Linked DNA regions of Macaca fascicularis. The protein of the gene in region 1 interacts with the protein of each later gene in a biochemical or structural test. Links are inferred from orthologs where the notes say so. Each region holds a gene or a part of one and is shown in the gene's direction. Other genes may lie near its edges. The genes, in order: F5 and PROS1.

Region 1 (13,031 bases):
GTTGGGGATGGGAGCTTTTTTTCCTGGGCTTCTCCCAATTTGATTTTAGGCTTTCAAGTTTTCTATGGCCAAATAAGAGGAAAATGCTGCAGCCATAGCTGAAAATTCAACTATGAGAGTCTGTCATTTGGATAAAAATATGCTACCTGGGAGGAAAAACATCCACTGTTCTGTTGGTTTGGATTTACGTATGTGATTAGCTTGCCCAGCTAAGGGCTGAGGGCAAGTGACACAAGATGCCCTGAAAAGAAATGGAGTTATGTATATACTGAAAGGAAGGAGGAAGAAAGTGAGAGGACTCTGGAGTTAAATATTGTCAAATGTTCAATTTAGCCTAAAACACTTTCTACCTTTCAGGGAGAGACTGTTCCCAATATTCCCCTTTTAATGAGCCGACCTGAAAATCAGTCTACTGGTTTTCCCCAATAATTTCTATCCTTAATGACCCTCTCTTTCATCTTGTTTTTTTTTTTTTTTTAAATCAATCATTCTTATCTTCTCGCTTATTTTAGATGATGGGAAATGCCCCTTGAATCCTCACAGGTAAGGTAGAAATGTTTTATGATTGAGTAAATTTTGCTAGCTTGACTTTATAATTCACTGTAATATGTCAGAATGATTACATGCAATGCCTGCCTCCTTTTTACAATGTCTTTTAAAATGTCTTCTCTTCTATTCTGAAGTAAAATACACAGATAACAAATATTCTCATTATAACATAAAGTAGAAATAAAATGAAAAGTAATTTATAATAAAAACACGATGCAAAAACTTAGGCGCTGCACCAGCAGATGCAATGAGGTCATCAGAAACATGCACCTTCCAGCAGAATCACTAGGACAGCAGCAGCCATGCAGGTGGACTGATAGGGAAATGTTGTATTAGTGACTCAGAGAGCATTAGAGCTGTGGCCAACACTAATCTAATTTTTCAAAATGGTGAACAACTCTGGTAAAGAGTCCTAAAACCTGTGATAATTGTCCCTTGATTCATATGGCAATTACACTTTTTAAAGATGCAAAAAATGCTTAATATTTACATGTAAAGCGCTTGCGTTCCAGGCTCAGAGATTTTTAACCTGTATGAATATTGAGCAGATATTCCAAAGTTATGTGGGGTGTTGGACAATTCTTTTGTGTCCTGTACCCCCTGCTGTTTATAATCTAGCAAGAGTTTTCAAAAAGGGACAGTATGCCTCCAAGGGTATTTCTTTTGATTTTTGCAACGAACAAGAGCTCTACTGACGTTGAGTGGGCAGGAGGCAGGGGTGCTGGATATCTTTTAAAGACATTTCCATCCTGGAGGAAATAGAAATCCTTATATGAACCCTATTGTCACAGACATCCAGCACCCTTGCCCCATACCTACTCAGTATCAGTAGAACTCTTGATGGTTATAAAAATCAAAAAACACCCCGAGGTGGCACACTGCCCCTTTTGAAAACTACCGTTAGATTATTAAGTGTTAATGCCAAGAATTTTGTAACTACTTCTTCTCACCTAGAAGAGGTTGCAGCACCTTAGAGGGTATAACAGGTATTCAGTAGGTAAAACATCAACAATAACTTAGTGCGGGTACAAAATACAATGTAAATTACCCAGAGCTGTTAAGTGGGATATCGAATATTTCTTTGGCCTTTATTTTTCTTTCCTTTCTAAAGCAGAATTCCAGGGGTGGATGGTAATTTATGGTTTCTGGAAATACTATGTGTTGGACTGTGTTGTTGACAACTAAGCAGTATATGGTGGTCACCCTTGTGTTTCTGTTTTTTAGCCACCTAGGAACATATGGAGTTTTTACAAATGCTGCATTTGACCCGAGTTCTTAAGGTAACATACCTATAAAGATGTTTTTGAAGGAAATAGAACAATAGGGAAAAAAGGAAGACTATAAAGCTTAACTTTTCTTTATGTAATCATGTATTACGTTTTAAGTATGTATTAGATGTTCAGGCATGAAGGAAATTGTGTTGGCAGTAGGACACAGGTATGACAACGGAATGACAATAGAGTTCACAGAAGGATTTCCATTTCCTCCAGGACAGAAATGTCCTAACAAGACATAACTTATTTCAGGATGTGTGACATTTCCATTATTGGCTGCTAGGTGGTGATGATGTGACCTTTCCTGCAAAGCAGAAGTCAAGACTGCTGAAAAATGTTTTCGAACTGTTATGGAGTCAATTCCCTATGCTACCTGCTGGAAAAAACAAAAATAATCTGATGCTATCCCTCTCCCAAAAAATTCAGTGGGTAGCTGAGTGTCCTACAAAAAACCTGAATGGCAGAATATTCAAAATCTAGAAAGAAAAGATTATGCTGAGCCTCAGGGGGTAGATATGATGAGCAATTTTTTTCTTTCCTTTTTTTTTTTTAAGGAAATGATAATTATTTAAATTTCTTTGGTCTCATTTTCAGAGACCTGTCCTTTTCCTGGTCACCTCATTCAGCTCCATATGATCCTGTTGTGAACATCAAGTTTCCTGCTAGACTTGACTTAACTATAATGCATTTGCTGCAGTTTTCCATAAATACCTGTGAATCAAAGACATGGAATTATCTTAGATTAGCTCTGGACCAGACTGTTGGACCAGCTCTGGACCAACCCTGTTTCCTGAGTTTGGGATTGTGGTACAATCTCAAATTCTCAACCTACCACCCCTTCCTGCCCCACCCCTTCTCTTCCTGTAATACAAGCCACAGAAGCCAGGAGCAAATGTTTCTGCAGTAGTCTCCGTGCTTTGACTCACCTGTCACTTGAACTGCCAGTGAACCAAAGAGACTAGAGCATCTGACTCACAAGAAGACCAGACTGTGGAGAAACAAAAATACCTCTTTATTTTTTGATTGAAGGAAGGCTTTCTCTACTTTGTTGGAAAGCAGGTGGCATCTCTAACGGGAAGCAATTCCTGTAGCATCTTCTGGAGTCTCCAGTGGTTGCTGTTGATGAGGCCTCTTGGACCTCTGCTCTGAGGCTTCCAGAGAGCCCTCTGGATGGCACCAGAGGCTGCAGAAGGCCAAGAATCAAGCCAGGAGGATACATGTCACTGTGGACCTTCCTGCCACCAGCCACTGTCCCTCAAAGGACCCAAAGACCAATATTCAAATGTATAATTAAAAGAATTTTCCCCAAATGCCATGTTCCTCTATTGGATGGTTCGTTCAGTAAGGTCTGTGTATATCACATTGTTTGCCATCAGTGTAATAACACATAATTATGGTTGTCCTATTTACACCTCAACCATTCAGTCAGCCAGCAAATTTGTGTCACACACCCTCCACTCCAAGAGAAAATCAGAGAAATGGAAAAATTCTTCATCACCTGAATGTTTTACAGGGAAGAACAAATGTATTTTACATGTTCTTCAAATCCCATGTTTAATAAATAGGTCATTGAAAGTTATACAGTGTTTATCTGGAACTGATGTTAAAAAAAAATAGAGAGCCAAACATTATAGTAGTCATCTTGTCTCTGTAAAATGTAATGCAATAAACATGTCATGTATACTGTATATACATAAGCAAACATCCAAGTAAAAAAAGCAGCCTACTCAAAGGTTACAGTAATGTTGCAACAATGTTGGTAGTAACCTTGGGATTTAGGGACACAGTGCTTTCAAAACGTTTCTCTGATACACTGCCAGTAGCATCTCTGACTGCTTATTTATACGTCAATCAATAGGCTAGATGTTCTAGGACTTTGGTCTCAGCCCTATTTCCTGAGTCAGAATCTACATTTTGTAAAAGTTCCCCTGGGAATTCTGATGGGCTACCAACTTTGGGAGATACTGATAACATTGTAGATAAAGAAGTGTAAGCAACTGTTCAATCAGGGAGACAATAGATACCTACATGGAATAACCAAAGGTAATTAACATGATTATACAATTTGAATAGTGTTATAATAGTTCATAAAATGGAAAAGTCCATTGGAGCCCAGAATCTGGGAGACAGGCAGAACCCTGCACTGTAAAGAATGACCCAGCAAAGAGGAAGAAAATGGGCATTTTAAGTTGGTAGAATAATATCAGCACAGGAGGAAAGACAGAACACTGGGGGGAGTGGGGAGGGGGGAAGAGGCTGTTGATGAGCCTGACATCATTAACAGAGACCTCACATGAGGTGCCAGATTACAATTTATTGAATGTACTGAATGCATAAAGCATGACAGAAACTTGGAGCCATGCAGATACAGGGAACCCAGGACAAGTCATTATGATGTCTCACACGATATAATTCTCAGATTCTCTATTAACAGCAAAGTAAGATTTAAGGTGGTGTGAAACAACTAGATCCTTCAAGAAATACAAGAATACAAGGGGTCCTGGAGACAGGAAAATATAATCATAGTAATAAATTTGTGACTGACTGACTTTCTTTCTTTCTCTCTCTCTCTCTCTCTCTCTGGCTCTCTCTTCTTTCTTTCTTTTTTTTTTTTTTTTTGATGGAGTTTTATTCTTGTAGCCTAGGCTGGAGTAAAATGGCAAGTTATCAGCTCACTGCAACCTCCACTTTCCGGGTTCAAGCAATTCTCTTGCCTCAGTCTCTTGAGTAGGTGGGATTACAGGTGTCCACCACAACTCCCGGCTAATTTTTTGTATTTTTAGTAGATACAGGGTTTCACTATGTTGACCAGGCTGGTCTTGAACTCCTGACCTCAGGTGATTCACTTGCCTTGGCCTCCCAAAGTGCTGGGGTTACAGGCTTGAGCCACTACGCCTAGCTGCTGTGTGCTAAGTGCTGGAACTATAGTTTACAGTAGCATTTTATCCTCCCAACATACCCTATCAGGAAAAACCATTATTGTCATCCTTATTTCACAGATATCAAAACTGAACAGAGAGGTACAGTAACTTGCCCAAGACAACACAGCTAGTAAGTGAAACTGAAAACTGGACAACTGATTTTTTTTTCAGCCAAGTTCTTTAAGCCCTCTGCTATGCTGCAGCTTAGCTAGCTACAGGCCCTTATCAAGGCAGAACTGTGCCTTGATAGAGACCAGGAAGGCGATTCAGAGCAGTAGGCCTTGTCCATGTGTTTGTTCCCTTCTTCTCCACCACTTGAAAATAGTGTTTCAGTGCCGGGTAACAGGGCACAATACTCTTTTCCTCAGATCAAAAGGGGAGCCATCTGATTAAGGTGGTTGGGTACCACTGCACTTCACAGAAAGTTCTCCAAGTGTGAGCTTGTCCGGACCCAGGCAGGCCTCAGGTCAGTGGTAAGGGTCGACTGCTTCCGCGGTGTTGGCCGGTGGAAATGGAGGGATACAGCTTTGTCCGGCTCATGAATCCCTGGGCATTGTCCCGCCTGCTAGAGCCTCTGATCTCTGCCCCTTCTTCACCTGTAGTAAAACAGTCACTAGTTTGGTTGCTCTCCCTAATACCTCTGGTCGCTGGGAGCTGTGATCTCACCAAGCCCCTGCCAGGAAAAGCCCCAGAAAAAGGGGAGGGAGGGAGAGGCAGAGGCTGCCGCTGCAGTTTGCAAGAACCGCAGGGGAGAAGGACGCTGCCACCCACAGCCTTCAGAGCTCATTGCAGCTGGGACAGCCAGGAGCGGGGTTAGTCAGCAGCTCGACGAGCGGCTGCCCAGGTCCTGGGGTGGTGGCAGCCAGCGGGAGCAGGAAAGGAAGCATGTTCCCACGCTGCCCACGCCTCTGGGTCCTGGTGGTCTTGGGCACCAGCTGGGTAGGCTGGGGGAGACAAGGGACAGAAGCGGTACAGCTAAGGCAGTTCTACGTGGCTGCTCAGGGCATCAGTTGGAGCTACCGACCTGAGTCCACAAACTCAAGGTAACTCAGGTGTGGATCTGGGTGGGCTTCTCTAGAGAGGAAAATCTATTTCTTTAGACAACATTTCCTTTGCAATGTCATGGCTTTTTTTTTTTTTTTTTTAACTTCAGGTAAGTAAATATAACTAATAGGAGAGTACACTGAATTAAATAAACTGGGCGAATGCTAATTTTGCCTCCAATAATGTAGTTTATCATTCTGAGGGTATAGAAAGCATTCCATTTGATTGGTTAGATGATGCTTTCTTTTCAAGTTTATTTTCAATACAGTTTTGTTAGTATGTTTGTGTTGGCTTATATATTGGTGAATTCAAAGGCACCAGGGATTGCTTCCTCATTAGTGCTTTCTGGAAATTCCTGTTCCAGATTTTTAGTTGTTTAGTATTTTTATAAGACTCCTATTTACGTATTATTTGTTCCATTGTCTACATAGCTTCATCTTCTAAAACTAAAAATGAACACCTTGTGCTTTTTGTCATATAATTTTATTGCTGCCTTATAAATGATTTTCAAAATATCATCAGTTCTTGTATGTTTTTGTACTTTCACCTTTTTTCTGCTTCATATTTGACTTATTTATCCTTCTGAATGTGACTCTTCATTTTTTTCTCTCTGTTAATCATGTCCTGGGATATGACTTACTTATCCTACTGAATGTGACTCTTCATTTTTTTCTCTCTGTTAATCATGTCCTGGGATATGGTATGTAACTGAGAGGAGGTTTAATTCATATAAAATACTACCCTTGAGTTGCAAACTATTTTTTCTAATTGAAATGTTAAAAATAAGACTTCTCAGAAATTAACTAAATCATAGAGTCTATTCAATATTTCCAGTTAGTTATTTTTTAAATGGTCAACCTGCTAGTGTGACTCACTTTTTTCCCTAACATCACAGTTTATTATGAAAGATGTGTTCCTCTTTTACAATTACAAAACCAAAGCAATCTGCCAAAAACTAATGTAATATTTGAGATCTTTTAGTGTATAATATTAGCCTTTTTAAAACTCTCATTGTAAGTGGGTTATTTTGCAGGGTATTACACATGATCTTGGTCTTATAATAAGAAGAGATCCCTCCTTTTCAAAAATAATCATTTTAAATATTGTACTTCAAAGTAACAATCTAGGTCACACCCACACCCTTCGGAACTGCTGTAAGCTAAAACCCCAAGGAAAATAACAGTCCTTCTAACACTAATCTTGCCTGCTCATGAGAAGAATGCAAACTTGGTTGTTGGCTTTCTTGTAGCATGCTGGGTTTACGCTTGGGAGTTTTTTTCTCGTGTCTGTAGTTAGCATTGAAAATAGCAAGCAAAATGCTGGAGGCAGAATCACATAGGGCAAAGGTCTGATTCACATGGCGAGTACACAGGGAACCACGACTGGTCATTCTGTCCCCTCACCCTGTGGGTAAGTTTCCAAAGTTCTGGAGAGTCATTTCTCTGGTAGCAATTGTTGAGTCAAAACCATAGAAACATAACCCAGACAAACTGTCATATTGTTTAACCCTAAATCATATCACTTCTCTCTAGCATTTTCTTATGAAAAATCTAATCCATATATCTGGCTGCTTACACTAAGAACTTGTTCTAACTTGTCCAGCCCCTAGAGCTATGATGCTCACTAGATGAATATCAACGTAGACAACTCCATCTTTTGGCAAAGTGTATTTTAGCACAAAGCAGAAATCCGTCTACTTATTTCATATAATATTAGCAGGACAATGCCTTGTAAAGGTAAAATGTACATATTATTCTTGCTCCAAGTCAGAGATGAACACTTTCAAAAATTTCCTTAGAAACCTTGTTTAGTCACTCACATAATACAAAGAGATATTGAAGAAAAGATACACATACATTTTCCTCCTAGGGTTCTAGCTTTATATGATTTTGTGACTATGAACAAATCATCTTTAAACAATCCTTATAAATGAAAAACTCATTGTACCCATTGTTTGAATTCATATCATCTGTAACTTTTTAATCAGATAGATTATTTTCCAATAGAAATTGTTCAGATTAAAATAGACATACCTCAGTATAAATACACAGCATACATAGTAAAACTTGTTAGAAAACCTCTCTCTGTTGAAATTACTCCACATAAGAGACTGATATTTTTTAGTAAAGATTTTATACCATCATCTACATTCTGTATCAAAGATCTGGGGCAGGGGAGGACAATAACTTTTCAATTGTACTAAAAAAATAAATAAAAATGGACTTCCACATTAGGGACATTAGTATATAGCATCTTAGAATTCTTAAGTTATAAGAACGCTAAGAGGTCATTTAATTCATATTCAAACATATTAAGGTGTTTTAACCTTCTACTTTTTCCCTTGCCCTCAGCACCAATGACCTTACCAAGTAGTTGTCTAATTTCTACTTGAATACTGCCAGTGAATCCACTACCTTCTCTATCTAGCCATTCTAAAAGTACTTACATGCCTCCTTTAATCCTGCCCCCACATATTAACACAGTTCCTGTATTCCACATATTAAAATTTGTGAGCATTACTATTACTACAGATTTGTTTTTGCTTTCTGTGAAAACCTGAAGGCTAAAGACTAACTCTAATTATATTTACAAAATATTACTAGCTAACATGGATTAAGTATTTCTAGTGTGCCAGTTCTGTGCCTTTTGTACATATCAACTTATTTAAAATTATACAACAATTCTGTGAGGGAGATTTCAGTATTAATCTCATCTTATAGTTGTAGAAACTGAGGCACAAATGAATTAAGTAAACTTTTCAAGATAAAACAATAAGAGGTAGATGTAGTCTTCAAGTCCAGAGATACTGAATTCACAGCCTGCACCCTAGCCACCGTGCTGTATAGAAGGCATGGCATACGTGGGTGCTGTTATGTCTTGATTATGGCTGGGTCACTGTCCCCGCATTAGGAAGCAAAACAAAGCCACTCTGATCAAATTGAGACATTTGTAAGGTATTTTCTCTGAATTCTCTTTCCTTTTACCCTCATCTTTGAGTTTAAGACAAGGATAAGAATGATGTGTCTTTAGAGGTACAGAACAATAACAACAACAACAACAGCAACAACAGGAAAGTAACTCACCACTCACGACTCTCCCTGTTGTCTGTCCTCTCTCTAATATTTTTTTAAATCATGAATGCGGTGGTTTCACATTTTTTAATATTGGTTCTGCCACTTATCAACTGTGTCTCTTAGACAAGTTACTGACTGTTTCCAAAACAGATTTTTCATTTGTTTGTTTCCAATATGAATCCCAGGGCTTTTACCCCGTTAGCCATCTCTCACCTCTCAACTAGAAATAAATTCCACGAAATCAATACTTTTTCACAATTTCCCCAGTAGATTAAAACTATTTTTGATTGATCAGTTGAAAAACAGCTCATATATTTATTCATAAAGGATTTGGTCATATTTTAATAATATAAAATCTAAACCTACAGTTTGGGTTTATACTGTGATATTGGGTTCTTTTTAGAAAATTGATTCTGAGGAACGATATTAGGGTAGATTAACTTGTGAACAAATAGTTATCACAACAGGATATTTTTGAAGAGACCAATAATTATTTCATTAACTTTATTTATTGATCATATTTATAAAATGGTGGGCTTCTGAAATGCAATAAAGATACTGGTATTCTACTAGAAGTCTGAAGATATGAGAGATCTACTTTTTTTGTGATGTGAGAAATAGATGTTGAATATGCCTTTCAAATTAGTTTTTGTATTATATTTCCAGTTTGAATCTTTCTGCAACTTCCTTTAAGAAAATTGTCTACAGAGAGTATGAACCATATTTTAAGAAAGAAAAACCACAATCTAGCATTTCAGGTAAGCCTGAAATATACTTTTTAAATTTTAAAGATAAATTTCTATGGGTAATTTGGCATTCACATGCATCTAAAATTTCCATTTACTTGAAAATTTGTAGAAATATGTGTTTTCTTTTTTAACAAGTACTGGCTGCATAATATGTGGGGCCCCTTGTTCATATTACTGAACACTTCAAAGTAGTGACTGCAAAGCATTAAACCAAGCCAGGGGCCCTTCGGGGCATGGGGCCCTGTGAAACTGCCCAGGTCACATACCCATGAAGCTGGCTCTGTTTTTAACCTTGATTAAAATAGCTAAATAAAACTTATAAGTGTTTGAATTTTTATTCATTCATCTAAAAAACTGTTATTGAGTACCGGGTGTGGGCTGGGCATTGAAATAGGTAGGCACTGTGGATGCAACAGTGGATGAGACAGTCTCATATCCTGGGTTCACGGAGATTATGGTTTAGTTTAATGAGCACAGATGTGCCTCTGCAGAATGATTTTTTGCTTCCATTTGGCTCCCTAGATTCATTCAAAGTAACTATGTATGGCTGACTCTTTTGCGTCTCCTATTTATCTAGTGTGATATATACAATAGCCATAATTTTTAAAGAAAATCTCTTCTTTTTTCCTCATCTCTTCCTTTATCAAGAAGACTGGGTTGAATAGGGTTCTAGTATCTTAACTATGATACCATATTCTACAGGGATGAAGTGCTCAAGGGAGCACTTCCTCCAGTTGAGTCCCCTTGTCAGTAATTCACCTGTCCCTTTCCCCAACCAGATGAAGACCTGCTGTCTTTCCGAGAATCATCCTAGTCTGTCCTGCCTCTTCTGATCTCCCTTAATCTTCAATATTTACTCAGTGGGAGTCATTCTTTCCGTTAAAAATCAACAACCAAACCAAAACCAGACCAAACCATGTCCAGGTTAACTCCTATCTAGAAAAAGAAAAACAAAAAAATCTCCCCGTGACCCTGCCTGCCTTTTCCTTTTCTCTCCTTTCCTTCACTTCAGTTTTTGTGTGAGGACTCTGTATCATTCTCTACATTTCTTCGCCTATATTCTTTTCCTAATCTGCTTTAGTATGAATGAGTCTACTAAAATTACTCTTACAAAAGGGCACTCAGGACTTGAGGTGCCAGAGCCTATGTTCTTTTACTACTAGACATTACTAGGACATTTAACACTCTTCCTTTTTGAAGCTCTCTCTTTACCTGGTTTTTCTATTGTCACTTCCCCTGGGTTTTCTGACTTCTCTTACCACTCCTGCTCAGTATCCCCACCAGATATTCTCCCCTAGGGTTCCAATCTCACCCAAAACCAAAGCTTTCACTACGACCTACCCAGAAGCCACTTTCCCTCTGAAGCTACACTGACACCCCCTCCATATCAGCAGAATTAAGTCTTCCCTCTTCTATACACCCCTAGTACCTTGAATTAATCCCTATCTTCTAAAGATATTATGTACAAAGTATTTATAATGATGCTGACACACAATAGGCACTCAGTAGAAGTTAGCTACATTATTGTTATTGTTGCTGCTATTATTAATCATAACTTAGATCATATATATCATAGTATTATGGATATCTATATATCTATATTTCTCCACTCATTTATATATTCTTCATATGTGTTCATTTATATATTTATTTAATTTTAAACAAATCTGCATTTAAATATTCTTTTATTTTAAAATAATTGTGTATTGAGGCCGGGCATGGTGGCTCATGCACTTTGGGAGGCCAAGACGGATCACTTGAAGTCAGGAGCTCCAGACCAGCCTGGCCCACATGGTGAAACCCTGTGTCTACTGAAAATACAAAAATTAGTTGCACATGGTGGTGTGTGCCTGTAGCCCCAGCTACTCAGGAGGCTGAGACATGAGAATCACTTGAACCCAGGAGGTGGAGGCTGCAGTGAGCAAAGATCGCATCATTTCACTCCAGCCTGGGTGACAGAGCGAGACTCCATCTCAAAAAAAAAAAAAAAAAAAAAAAAATTGTGTATTGAGAACCTACCACATTCCAGGTTCTGGGATTCAGTGAATAAGACATGGACCTTGACTTCCAGGAGTCAACCAGCTACTGGGGATAACCTATAGGTAGACAAGCAATGACAGTAGAGTAACAAGGAAGAACTATGATGAGGATTTTGTAGTAGGACATAGGAGACCTATCTCCAGTCTGGTGGGCAGGAAAGTACTTCTCTTTCTAGGTTGATAGCTGAAAAAAGAGTAGGATCTTGGAAATCCAAGTGGGGAGGCAAGGCATTGGAGGGTAGATGCATTTTAAACCAAGGCACAGAATGTTTCAAAGTTTGGAGGTGAGAGTATGGTATGTTTGTGGAACCATAACTGGATCAGCACAGCTGGAGCACAAACTTCAGGGAAGGAATTAACAAGAGATGCAACTAGATGGAGATCAGGCATCCATGCTAGGCTTTATAGTGAGAGGAATAGGGAGTCCCTAATAGGATTTCAGCAGGAGAAAGATTTGTCCTTTAGAAAGACAATCCTCTCCAATTATAGAGAATGGATTGGAGGAAGACCAGAGTCCAGAGCCAGAGAAACCAGTTATGGGACTGTTGTATCAATCCAGATAGCAGAGAAGCTGAGATGGGGAAAATGAGATGGGGAAAATGATTTAGGAGCTAAAATCAATTAAACTTGGTGACTCATTAGATGTGATAATGAGGAAGAAAAGGGAATTATTATGGACTTCAAGGTTCTGGTTTAAACAGCAGAGTGGATAGGGTGCCTATCAGTAAGAAAGAAAATTTAAGAAAAGGAGATAGTTTGTGAGGGAAGGTGAGAAGTATAGATTTGGAGTCTGTCTATAGAATGTCTACCTAGAGATGTTAAATGAGCAGATCGGTGTAGAAGTTTGGCCCTCAAAAGAGAGAACTGAGCTAGCTGTAAACATTTGGGAGACATCAGAACAAAGATGGTAATTGAAGCCTTTAGAGGGTGTAAATTTACCAGGGAGGATATGATGAGAAGAGAAGGCTGCAGACAGAGCTCAAAGTAGCAGCAAAGTCCAAGGGATGAGCCAAGAAAGAAAAGTTTACTAAGGAGCTTGAGAAAGCCTGTTCAGGGAGGGGAGAAAAAATCTAGAGAATGTGGTATCCTGGAAGCAAAGGGTCAAATGCTATGAAGAGTTATTAATATAAGGGCCAAAATATGGTCCTTTTATTATGGAATAGTGGGGCAAGTCCAGATGGCAGGATGAGGAGTGAATGGAAGGCAAGGAAACTGAAGCAGAAGGGTCTTACAGATAACTCTTCCCTGAAACTTGGTTCCAGATGGGAGGAGAGACAGTGTACTTCTGAGGCGGACTCAGGAGCTTCAGGATATTTGATAATTTTATAAAAAGGAATACAGAGACTTAAAATATTAAAGGGAAGACTCCATAGAAATGCCA
Region 2 (12,401 bases), on another chromosome or scaffold:
TCATTTCCTCTATTTTTTTGTGTGTGTTGTTTCTGCCTTACATTTTAATATTATACATTATAAACTCCATGATATGTTAATTTATAAATAGATTATCAAATGAGAAAATATTGTTTTATTGTTTTATTTATTTATTTTTGAGACAGAGTCTTGTGCTGTCATCTAAGCTGGAGTGCAGTGGCACAATCTCAGCTCATTGCAACCTCTGTCTGCTGGATTCAAATCATTCTTGTGCCTCAGCCTCCCAAGTAGCTGGGATTACAGGCCTGGCTAATTTTTTTGTATTTTTGTGGAGACAGGGTTTTGCCATGTTGCCTAGGCTGGCCTCAAATTCCTGGCTGCAAGTGATCCACCCACCTTGGCCTCCCAAAATGCTAGGATTACAGGCATGAGCCATTGGCACCTGTCCCAGAAAACATTGTTCTGTATTTTCTCATATGTTTACCATTTCTGGCATTCCATATTCTTTTTTATAGATCCACATTTCCATCTGACAACATGTTCCTTCTGCCTGAAGAAATTCCTTTAACATTTCTTATACTACATATCTGATGAAGATGGATTTTTCTCTCTCTCTTTTTTTTTTTTTTTTTGAGACAGAGTCTGGCTCTGTCACCCAGGCTACAGTGCAGTGGCACAACCTCAGCTCACTGCAAGCTCCATCTCCCGGGTTCATGCCATTCTCCTGCCTCAGCTCCCGAGTAGCTAGGACTACAGGTGCCTGCCACCACGCCCAGCTAATTTGTTGTATTTTTTGTAGAGACAGGGTTTCACCCTGTTAGCCAGGGTTTGATTTCCTGACCTTGTGATCCGACTGCCTTGGCCTCCCAAAGTGCTGGGATTACAGGCATAAGCCACCGTGCCCAGCCTTTCTCATATTTTTTAATTAAAAAATAGTATATTGCCTTTATTTTGGGGAGATATTTTTATTGGGTAAAGACTTCCATGTTGATAGTGTTCCATCAGTATGTCAAAGATGTCTGTCCATTGTCCTTACACTTGAATAGATGCTGATGGGAAAACTACTGTTATTCTTAGTTTTTTTTTTTCTTCTATGTATGCACTGTGTTTTAGATTTCTCTTTTTCCCTGGTTTTCTCTAATTTGACATAGTATTTTTAGGTTTATCCTGATTGGTGTTTAGTGGGCTTCTTGGATCTGCATGTTCATAGTTTTCATCAAATTTAGAAAACGATTTACTATTATTTATTCAAATTTCTTTTTTCTTTTTCCCTGCTATCTTTCCTCTTCTCTTGGAATGTCCATAACATGTATTAGGCCACTTGATATTGTTTAACGAGTCATTCATGCTCTAATTATTTATCAGTTTATTTATGTATTTATTGTTTTTATACTTCTTATCTGTCCTTCCTTAATTTTGGATAGTTTTTATGTCTTCAAGTTCACTCTTCCTTTCTTCTCCCATGGATAATTTACTTTTAATCCCATTTAGTGTATTTTTCATTTTATATAGTCTATTTTTCATTTCAATACATCCCATTTGGGTCTGTTCCACATCTGCTATTTTATTTTATTTTTTTTCATCATGCCTATATTTACTACTGGAACATGTGGAATGCACTTAAAATAATTTTATTTATTTATTTTTCTGATTTTTTTGTCATGTCTTTCATTTTAGATATATTTTCATCTACTGATTTTTCTCTTGGTTATAATTTTTTTTTCTTGTTTCTTTACATGCCTATTATTTTCTTAATTTAATTTAATTTTACATTATGCTTTATTTTATTTGGATATAAGATCTCACTGTTACCCAGACTGGAGTCCAGTGGTATGATCATAACTCACAGTAACTTCAAACTCCTGGTCTCAAGCTATCCCCCTACCTTAGCCTCTCAAATAGCTGGGACAACAGGCATGGACTACCACAGGTGGGGAATTTATTTTTTAAATTAATTTTAAAGATTACATCTCGGTATGTTGCCAAAACTGGTCTTAACTCCTGGCCTCAAATGATCCTCCCTCATCTGCCTCCCAAAGTGCAGAGTGAACCACTGCATCTGACTCCTACTTATTTTTAATTGTTTACTGAACCAAACAAACAATACTATTCTCAGTATAAATAGAAAAAAAGAACTTAGAACTTTCAGTTTGGGCTAAGATGATGTAACAGGGACCAAGTTTATCCTCCTGCCTTAAATAAGTAGAACTTCAGTCTGAGTATATAAAATAATGGTTATGAACATTGGAGAACAGGAAGCAGAACACTGTGAGTCCTAAGGGAAAGAAAATAAGCTTACAGCTTATGTTGCTGGGTCCTGGATTTTTTTGTCTTCTTCCAAATAGTGTTTAATTTTGTTGTGGCATTTAGGTAACTTATGTGGAATACATTAAAAACAAATCTTTTGAGGTTTGATTTTAAGCTCTATTAAGGCAATCCTGAGTAGCCATTAGCTTAAAACTAATTTAGCTTCAATAATAAGTCTATGTCCTTGTGAGGAGTCTACCTGATGCCCTTTGTACTATGAAATATTTTAGGTCTAGGTAGTCTAAAACAAACTATCCCTATCCCTCTATGAGCTCTGGAAATTTTCCTGTGCAAATCATCATTCAGCCAAAGACCTTAGGGGATCTTTTTGCAGATCTCTGGAGACTCTCTTTCTCTTTTTCTCTCTCTCTCTTTTCCTCTCTCTTTCCATACACACATACATTTTTTTTTCCCTCTCTCTGCCTTTATAGTACTCTGACCAGCAAAATTCTAATTTGATCTCCCCAAACTCCAATATTTGTTTTCTCAACCCAGGGAGACCACTGGGCTCTGTTTGTGTTTCTTGCACTGTTGCATAGAAGCTATCTCCAGGCACTAATGTGGTCCAATTGTAGGTCTCAGCTTGTTTATTTTCTTTTCTTTAGGAATCATGATGTTCTCCTTCCTGTTCTCCAATGTTTGAAAAATAATTATTTTACACAGTTAGACTGAAGTTCTACTTATTTAAGGCAGGAAGATAAATCTGTTCCTTGTTACATCATCTTAGCCCAAATTGAAAGTTTTAAGTTCTTTTTTCTTTTCTTTCTTTTTTTTTTGAGAGAGAGCCTTGCTCTATCACAGTGGCATGATCTTGGCTTACTGAAGCCTCTGCCTCCCAGGTTCAAGCAATTCTTGTACTTTAGACTCTGGAGTAGCTAGGACTACAGGAGTGTGCCATCATGCCCAGCTAAGTTTTGTATTTTTAGTAGAGACAGGGTTTCACCTTGTTGCCCAGGCCCCAAGTGATCGGCCTGCCTTGGTCTCCCAAAGTGCTGGGATTACAGGTGTGAGCCATCATGCCTAACCTCTTTTTTCTCTTAATGTTGAGAATAGTATTGTTCTGTCTACCTCATGGGATTGTTCTAAGGCTCAAATGAGGTAATATATTTGGAAAAATATCTAAATTACAGTTACAAAATACTGTATATATTTGCAATGTAAAAGTAGTGTTATGGAATCTTTGGGATGTTGCTTTTCTGTCTGGAAACTTCTGTAGCCAGTAATGCCTTTGCCCGAGTTCTTGTCCTGCATCGATGAAAAGTGAGGTATGCAGAAAAGTAGAGAGTGAGCAAGATGAACAGGAGCGTTACTGAGCATTAGAACAGCTTAGAGGACACCCTCAGTGGGTAGCTCATCTCTGTAGGCAGGTTGTCCCATCAAGTGTTCAGCTCTCAGCGGAGAGGAGGCCTTGAAGCGGGTGGCTCCTCTTTGTAGCCAGGTCATCCCATTGTCTCTGCAGCTGTCAGTAGAGAGGAGGCCTAGAGTGGGTGGCTCCTCTCTGCTGCTGGTTGTCCCATCAGCAGCTCTCAGCAGAGGAGGGCCTGGAGAGGGTGGTTCTTCTCTGCAGACAGGTCATTCGATGTCTGCAGCTCCCAGTAGAGAGGAGGCCCTGGAGGTGGTAGCTCCTATCTGCAGCTGGTCGTCTGTATATCTGTTCTGTTCTGGCTGAGTCTAGGGTTTTTATAGTCTTTAGAGTGGGAAAGTGCATGCAGACTGGTCCATGGGCTGCCACGGGTGGGCCCAGGAAAAAGCACCAAGAGTTCCCCCTTCAGTCAGCAGGACTGGCAGCCCAGCCCATAGGCCTCAGGCCTTTCCCAGTCTGAAGGTGGGACTTCACGGGGATCCACCCTTTTCCACACAGGCAGCTGTCTACCTCTTGCCACTGTGCATGGCACCCAGGCTCTTTGTGCCAAGGGGGTGCCTGCAGGCCAGCGCTGAGCTGCCCTCAGCACCCCTGTCAGCTCCCCTCCCATGCTTGTTGGAGCCCAAAGACTGGAGGGGGCTGGGGGCTGGCATTTTAGCACTGCCCTGAGCCTGTGCCCACCCGGCCAGGCTGCAACAGCAGCCGGCTTCAGCCCCAACCTTGTTCCATGACCAGAGTGGGTGCCAGCAGTGAGGAGAGACCAGGAAGCAGGAGCAGGCATTTCTGAGCCTGTGGTGGGCACAATGGGCCTTCCCAGGCCCCCAAGAGCACAGAGATGCCCAGGTTTACAGCCAGGCTTGGGCAGCTGCAGCTGCACTCAGGGGACTCTTGTCCCACCAGTTTGGAAGGGGTGGGGCTCCCCTTTGTCCTTGGCTTTCACCAGCTCTGTGGCGCGTGCAGCCCCAGCCGTGCCTCTTAGATCAGGGTGGATGCCTGCTTCAGGGAGAAGCCTGGAAGCGGGAGCAGGCCCCCAGGAGCACAGAGACACCCGGGTCCAGAGCCACGGCAGGGAAGCTGCAGCAGCATCCGGGGAGTGTGGGGCTCCTACCTGCTCTGTGGAGAGTGGGAGACCCTGGCCCACCTCCCTACTGCAGCTGGCATCTTGACAGCAGCCACTCTAGATGGGCCACTGCTGCCATCTGTAGTTTATTTTTACAAAATAATTATAAAGATTTACCTAATGGACTCACTTTTTAACTTAAGAAAAGTATTATTTAAAGGGAGGAGTTGTGCTTTTTTTTTTTTTTCCATTGGTTCCAGGCTTCAGGATTTTTATTATAGTGCACACAATTTTCTTTTACCATGACATGAGGTAAAAAAAAATAAATAGATGTCTATTTCCTTCAGCCATTCCAGACCAGTGTAGTCCTCTGCCATGCAATGAAGATGGATATATGAGCTGCAAAGATGGAAAAGCTTCTTTCACTTGCACTTGTAAACCAGGCTGGCAAGGAGAAAAGTGTGAATTTGGTATGTATAACAACCCCCGCCCCCCAGCTCATCAGGATTGGTCTCCTGGAAAGTTCTCTGCAGGTTATATTACTTTAAAAATATTTCGTTTTTTTCCTGTTTTAGATATAAATGAATGCAAAGATCCCTCAAATATAAATGGAGGTTGCAGTCAAATTTGTGATAATACACCTGGAAGTTACCACTGTTCCTGTAAAAGTGGTTTTGTTATGCTTTCAAATAAGAAAGACTGTAAAGGTAAGAGCAGGATGGTAGAATTAAAACGCATTTACTGTATGAGAATAATCCCAGTTAGAGAAATTTTACTAGCACATTTTTGGAAAAATGATTGTAAGTGCTTATACGAACACATTTTTATCCACATTGAAGCCTTGTGATACTGTGGAACTGCTTTTTAATTTTTGTTTGTTTTTGAGAGAGAGGGTCTCACTCTGTCTCCCCGGCTGGAGTGCAGTGGCTCTATCACGGCTCACTGTAGCCTTGACCTCCCGAGCTTAATTGATCCTCTGACTTCAGCCTCCCAAGTAGCTGGGACTACAGGTGCATGCCACCGTGTCCAGCTAATTTTGTTTTGTATTTTTTGTAGAGATGGGGTTTCACCATGTTGCCCAAACTGATCTTGAATTCAAGTGAGCCTCCTGCCTCAGCCTACCAAAGTGTCGGGTTTACAGGTGGGAGCTCTGTGCCTGGCATGTATTTTAGTTTACAGTACTGATAACGTGATTTTTAAAAATTTTCTTATTGTATGTGCGTGTACACACTTGTGTGCATGTTTCAATAAGGAATTTCATTATAAAATGACATTTCAATGCAAGTCTTTGCATGCTACAAACTTTGCAAAATCATTGTTTATCCTCTGTCTTCAGACATTATATTTTTTATTTTCTTCTAGTAAGATAAGTAGCCATAGAAAGAAATCCACTGCAATAACCTCTTCCATTGTATTTTATTTTTCCTTTTCAGAAATACTTTTCTGATTTCCAGTATCAATCCTTCATCTGGCACTTCATTTCCTGTTGTGGTTTTGGGAAAGAAAAGAAGATCTAGTTTCTTTCTCTTTCTGCCTTTAAGATCATATCACTGGTCATAACTCGTTTTCTTCTTCAGTCTTAAATATTCCCCGTTAGTTTAGCTTTCTAACAAATCATTTTACTAGTGTATTTCTTTTATTTTTCATTGTTTTCCTATCCCTACATTTTGACTTTTTTTTCTCTCTGTATGCTGTCTTTCAGTTTGGCTGTGTTAATGCTATGACTAAATCTTCAAATATTCATACCAGGTGTGTGGATGACTAAAAGCAAGATTTCCTACCTGGACTTAAAATTTTCCTTTAGAAACTGGATACAATTAATATCAACATTCTCTCCTCCACTACTTTTTTTTTTTTTGTTTTGCTAAAATGTTAAAAAAAAAAAAAAGGAAGTTAAAATGTGAATTTCTTGTTCAACTCTTTATTTTATATATGTTTTGGTAAAGCCCTAAATTAGATTCGTATTCAAATCATCTATCTCTTACTGAATAACAGTGTTTAATATGATAAACTTTACTATAGTATTATTTAAACTGCAGTTAAATGACTCTAAAGTGAACACATTAACAACAAATTCTTCTAAACAGTTACCCAATGTGTGACCATGTATCTTTCTTATCCGCCTATTTGAAGGTCTGTTTGTGTTTGGATTTTGAGACTACTTAGAATAAGACTGTCATTAGAACATGAGTTATAGAAAAACCATCACGATGCTGGATACCATATGCATTTTATAAACAAATAGTACCCATTGATACTTCTACACTTAAATACTTTAATAGTCTCTTTCTAAAGAATTTTTGTTTTTATTTATTTATTTTTTAAGATAGGGTTTTGCCTGTCACCTAGGCTGGAGTGCAGTGGAATGATCTCAACTCACTACAGCGTCCATCTCCTGGGAGGTCCTCCCACCTCACCGTCCTAAGTAGCTGGGACTACAGGCATGCACCACCATGCCTGGCTAATGTTTGTAGCTTCTGTACAGATACAGACGGAGTTCTGCCACATTGTCCAGGCTGATCTCAAATTCTTGGGCTGAAGCTTCAACCTCACAAGGTCATGAGATTACAGGCATGAGCCACCGCACCTGGCCAAATTTGTGACTTTTTAAAAACTCAAAAGTATTTTAAATTCTTATCCACTCAGTTAAAACACACATATATGTGTAAATGATTACAAAAGTGCTCTTATTAATAGGAATGTTCTTGATGACCACATCTGTTCTTATATTTATTTACATTATTGTTTACCCATGATATGTAAGTAATAGAGTAGAAAACAGATAGAAGAATATATGAAAAACTATTACAGCCAGGCGTAGTGGCTCACGCCTGTAATCCCAGCACTTTGGGAGACTGAGATGGGCGGATCACGAGGTCAGGAGATCAAGATCATCCTGGCTAACACGGTGAAACCCCGACTCTACTAAAAATACAAAAAAATAGCCGGGCGAGGTGCCGGGCGCCTGCAGTCCCAGCTACTCGGGAGGTTGAGGCAGGAGAATGGCGGGAACCCGGGAGGCGGAGCTTGCAGTGAGCCGAGATCGCGCCACTGCACTCCAGCCTGGGCCACAGAGTGAGACTCCGCCTCAAAAAAAAAAAAAAAAGAAAGAAAGAAAAAACAACAACAAGAAAAAACTATTACAATGGGACCTTTGCCACGATGTAGAAATGCTTGGGATCCAGTTGCCAGTAACTGTCTAAAGATGAAAGAATAAAACTTTTCTCTTCTTGTTCTTCTTCTTTCTTTTCTTTCTTTTTTTTTTTTTTTTTCGAGACAGAGTCTCGCTATGATGCCCAGGCTGGTATGTAGTGTGAGCTCGGCTCACTTCAACCTGTGTTTTGCGGGTTCAAGTGATTCTTCTGCCTCAGCCTCCCGAGTAGCTGGGACTACAGATGCACGCCACCATGCCTGGCTAATTTTGCATTTTTCGGTAAAGACGAGGTTTTGCCATGTTGACCAGGCCGCTCTTGAACGCCTGAGCTCAAGTGATCTGCCCGCCTTGGCCTTCCAAAGTGCTGGGATTACAGACATGAGCCACTGTGCCCAGCTGAAAGAATAAAACTTTACAATCAGACATCAGATGTCGGTGTGGAGTCATAAAACCAATGTACTGTAACTTAAACTTGTATGATCTAAATAATTCCCTGCAATATGCCTCAAACCAAATGCACTTAGTGACATATTTTCACTGATTTTATTTTATTTTATTATGTATTTATTTAGTGACAGGGTCTCCCTCTGTCACCCAGGGTGGAGTGGAGTGGTGCAATCATAGTTCAAGGCACCCTAACTTCTGGGTTCAAGTGATCCTCTTGCCTTATCCTCCTTAGTAAGAAGAACACATGCCACCACTCCTGGCTAATTTTTTCTCTTTTCCTTTTTTTTTTTTTATATAGAAGTGGGGTTCCACCATGTTGCTCAGGCTGGTCTCGAACACTTTGGCCTCCCAAAGTAATAGGACTACAGCACTGCCACCATGGCCGGCCACTCCTGGCTAATTTAAGAAAAAAACTTTGTAGAGACAGTGTCCCACTGTTGCTCAGGCTTACTTTATTTCAAAAACATAGTTTTTAGCTCTTTTTAAGACATTGGATATTTTACTTTGAATTAATTAAAGATTCACATGAAGTTGTAAGAAGTAATACAGAGAGATGCTATATACCTACCCTTTACCTCGTTTTCCCTCAATGGTAATATTTTACAAAATGATAGTACAATTTCACACTCAGGATGTTGACAATGATACAGTCAAAATATAGAAAAATTCCTACAAGGAAACTGGTTTTATTATTTTTGTGCAAGTTATTTTAAATAATATCCTAAATTTTGACTATTAATCTGGAAAAAAGGTGGTCAACTTTTGGAATAGAAAACATATTTTCTGTTCTGAATTTGTCTTTCTCCAGAGAGTACGCAGAAGAGATAATAATTACATCTCCATTGAACTATTTCTGCCGCATGTTTTGTTTTCTTCACAGGTGCTCATCGAGTAACTAGTTACTATCAATGTGTTGTCTCCTTCATTTTGCACTATAATATATGCATCTGAAATTTCTGGAATATTCATTTAGCACTAAATTCATATTGGATTAACTGCAGATTTATAAGTACTTAGAGACCTTAATCTTGTTTTAAATTTGAATCACTATCGTCTGCTTTAGACAATAGTAGTGTACAAATTAGATGTTTGTTCATTTCCAAAGAAACAAGATAGAATAGATGAGCCATCCCATGTACAAAAAATAATTATGATAATGTGGAGTGAATCTGTTTTCAAGACCTCTTTATTTTCATACCACAACCTGGCAGATAAGAATATTTTTAAAGCTTTCTCCTTCTTAACATAACTAGAAAGGAACATGGCAAACATGAATCAAATTCCCTATGCATTTGTAGAAAGAAATCATATTTAGTGAACTAACATATGATGATAGATTTAATGTTTTTTTGTCCGAAGGCCAATCTGTTATCTCATTACGTATATTAAACTAGTCCAGGAAACACAAATCAAGGGTTCTTTGCTAGTGTCTGCTGGTATGGGAAAAATGTTTTTTAATATGGTTATTTTATTTATAGATGTGGATGAATGCTCTTTGAAGCCAAACATGTGTGGCACAGCTGTGTGCAAGAACATTCCAGGAGATTTTGAATGTGAATGCCCTGAAGGCTACAGATATAATCTCAAATCAAAGTCTTGTGAAGGTAGAATGATGGTAGTATCATTACTGATTGTGGAGAGGGTGTGTGTGAAGCCTGAACTGATATTTGAAAGCATTGGTTTTGTTTGACTTCAACAGTCATACTTTCTTATCCCTAGTATAGATTGTTCAATTGGGTAATCATTGGCTTTCTTCCAGAGTAAAAGTGTGTAAGACACATGGTCTTTAAGTTTAGTGTTATGCGCGCCAATTGGCCCTTTGCGCTACCTATGAATTGGAGACCTCCATGTGTGATATAAACATATTAAACATATTTTCACGTCATTTACATTATATTCAAAGGTAAAGAGAATTTCAGTTTGGAAGGAAAAACAGTAGATAGAAAAGAAAGACACAAGCTTAAAAGTCATCTGAGTGAGACAATGAGCATGGTTATAAACTTTAGTTTTTATTCCAAGCTTTTCAGTGATTTTTCAGGGCATATATAAATAAGTCATTTATTCTAAAATAAAAAGTGACACAGTTCTATTATCTCATGATAAAGAAATGATAACAATACACTAGAAATTTAAGAAATATTGATCAGTAATGTCAGAGCCTGTGGGTTTGGGGCAACCCCTTGAAGGTGCTGTTGCTTCGAGTGACTGCAGTGGCTCTGCCCTGTGTGCCCCAGGAAGCTTCAACATATTATAGTTGTTTGTTTGTAGGTCTGTTTATCATGATATACAGATTATTCCATACCTTCCTTTGGATTTTTTAAAATTTTAAAACAGATTTAATGCCATGGCTGGAACTAATCAATACTAATTTTTCTATTGTGGTTGTGTGTGTGTGTGTGTGTGTGTGTGTGTGTATGTGTGTGTATATACATACATAAGAAAATATTATATATATATACACACATACATATATGTATGTATATTCACACTCATGTATAGTGTACCTTTTAAAAAATAGATATGTGGGTACAAGTACAGTTTTAATGTACCCTTTTAACCATTTTTAAATGTACAATTCGGTGGCATTAATTACATTCTTGCCATTGTGCAGCCATCACTGCTATTTCCAAAACTTTTTCATCAGCCCAAACAAAAACTTTTAAGCAGTAACCATTAAGCAGTGAGTTTTCTTTTATTAGTTACCTTGATGGAAGTAACTTCTACTCTTGTTTCTTGTCTCTATGAAGTTGCCTAAATCAATAATAATTTTACAATGTATTTTTTAACTACGTATGCTGCTTTTGAGATTTTGATGTCCTATCTCCTTTTGCATTCACCAAAAATATTCCCCTGCCCACCACACACACATTTCTCCTTTCCCACCATTGCAGATAGAAATTACCACGGATAACTCTAGACATCTGCAGAATTATCATTAACCAACTTCATCCCCTGTACTGTAGTTTTATTTAACGAATGACATATTTTATAAAAGATTTATATATGACTCTTATCTGATCTATAAATTTAATAATATGCAATTTTAATACTATTGAAGGATTATTAATTTTGGGAATCTATTTTAAATTATTTTATGGGAACATATTCAATAATAGCATTTATGAACTTGTGGAGTTTTAAAGGTCATAGGGCATAGCCAATGAAAATGTAAATGATCTTATATAGTTCTGAGATAGATGTTTGCTTCAACATAATATTATAAATTTCCAAGAATGATTTTCTCAAAATATGGAGTAGGGACAGGGACCATATAGATTTCGTAATATGGGAGATTACATCATAGCGAGGTTTAAAAAAAAAAAAGAACAGAAAGATAACAAATAAAGATATTTCCATAAATTCACTGCCACCATTAATTATTGCATTATGAGAGGCCCAATGTTCTTGATATTGTCATTTAATTCCTGACTGTATCAGCCTTCAGTTAAAGCGGTCTTTTCTTCCCTCCCCTTCCCTACCTTTCTTTTCCTTTACTTCTTCCACATCTTCCTCTCCCTTCCTCTTCCCCTTCCCATTTCTTTTTTCTTTTTCTCAAAGCAATGAGTTGTGAGGTAATCTCAAGGGAATTCAAATAATCAGAAATGACAGTTAAGTTGAGATTCTCTATCTTTTTTTCTTCAAATTCAAAATGAGAAATTTGGTAGAATTGTTATACTGAATCACCAAAAGTTATAAATTAATTTTAGTTTCAAATATGTAAATAAATAAAAATTATACTTGTAACTCATTTAAATTTCCACGTTAAGTATTATATTTAAATATAGCTTGATGTCATAGTATTCTTTCCCTAAGGTTCGATTATCATTGATTATGTCATACTACAGTCATAATATTCCTGTGCCTATAAGATTGAACATTTAGGAGATACTAAAATTTGCATGTGTGTGTGTGTGTGTGTGTGTGTGTGTGTGTTTTTACCTCAGATGTAGATGAATGCTCTGAGAACATGTGTGCTCAGCTTTGTGTCAATTACCCTGGAGGGTACACTTGCTACTGTGATGGGAAGAAAGGATTCAAACTTGCCCAGGATCAGAAGAGTTGTGAGGTAAACCTTTTACACTGCTTAACTGCTCCCCTGTTTCCTAAAA

What was found.
Region 2: the proteins of F5 (region 1) and PROS1 form a complex in vitro, tested with the Homo sapiens proteins (2 studies listed by BioGRID). The link is inferred for Macaca fascicularis from reciprocal best matches to the Homo sapiens genes F5 and PROS1.

Annotation. Positions count from the first base shown.
Region 1 is NC_088375.1:27,209,930-27,222,960, reverse strand, and holds the start of F5 (coagulation factor V), read left to right. Parts: upstream 1-5,522; 5' UTR 5,523-5,629; coding exon 5,630-5,787; intron 5,788-9,528; coding exon 9,529-9,620; intron 9,621-13,031. Other genes in the region: SELP (P-selectin), read left to right, coding at 513-543, 1,774-1,828. UniProt on the Homo sapiens protein: Central regulator of hemostasis. It serves as a critical cofactor for the prothrombinase activity of factor Xa that results in the activation of prothrombin to thrombin.
Region 2 is NC_088376.1:188,832,832-188,845,232, forward strand, and holds part of PROS1 (vitamin K-dependent protein S), read left to right. Parts: intron 1-5,038; coding exon 5,039-5,161; intron 5,162-5,266; coding exon 5,267-5,398; intron 5,399-9,770; coding exon 9,771-9,896; intron 9,897-12,236; coding exon 12,237-12,358; intron 12,359-12,401. UniProt on the Homo sapiens protein: Anticoagulant plasma protein; it is a cofactor to activated protein C in the degradation of coagulation factors Va and VIIIa. It helps to prevent coagulation and stimulating fibrinolysis.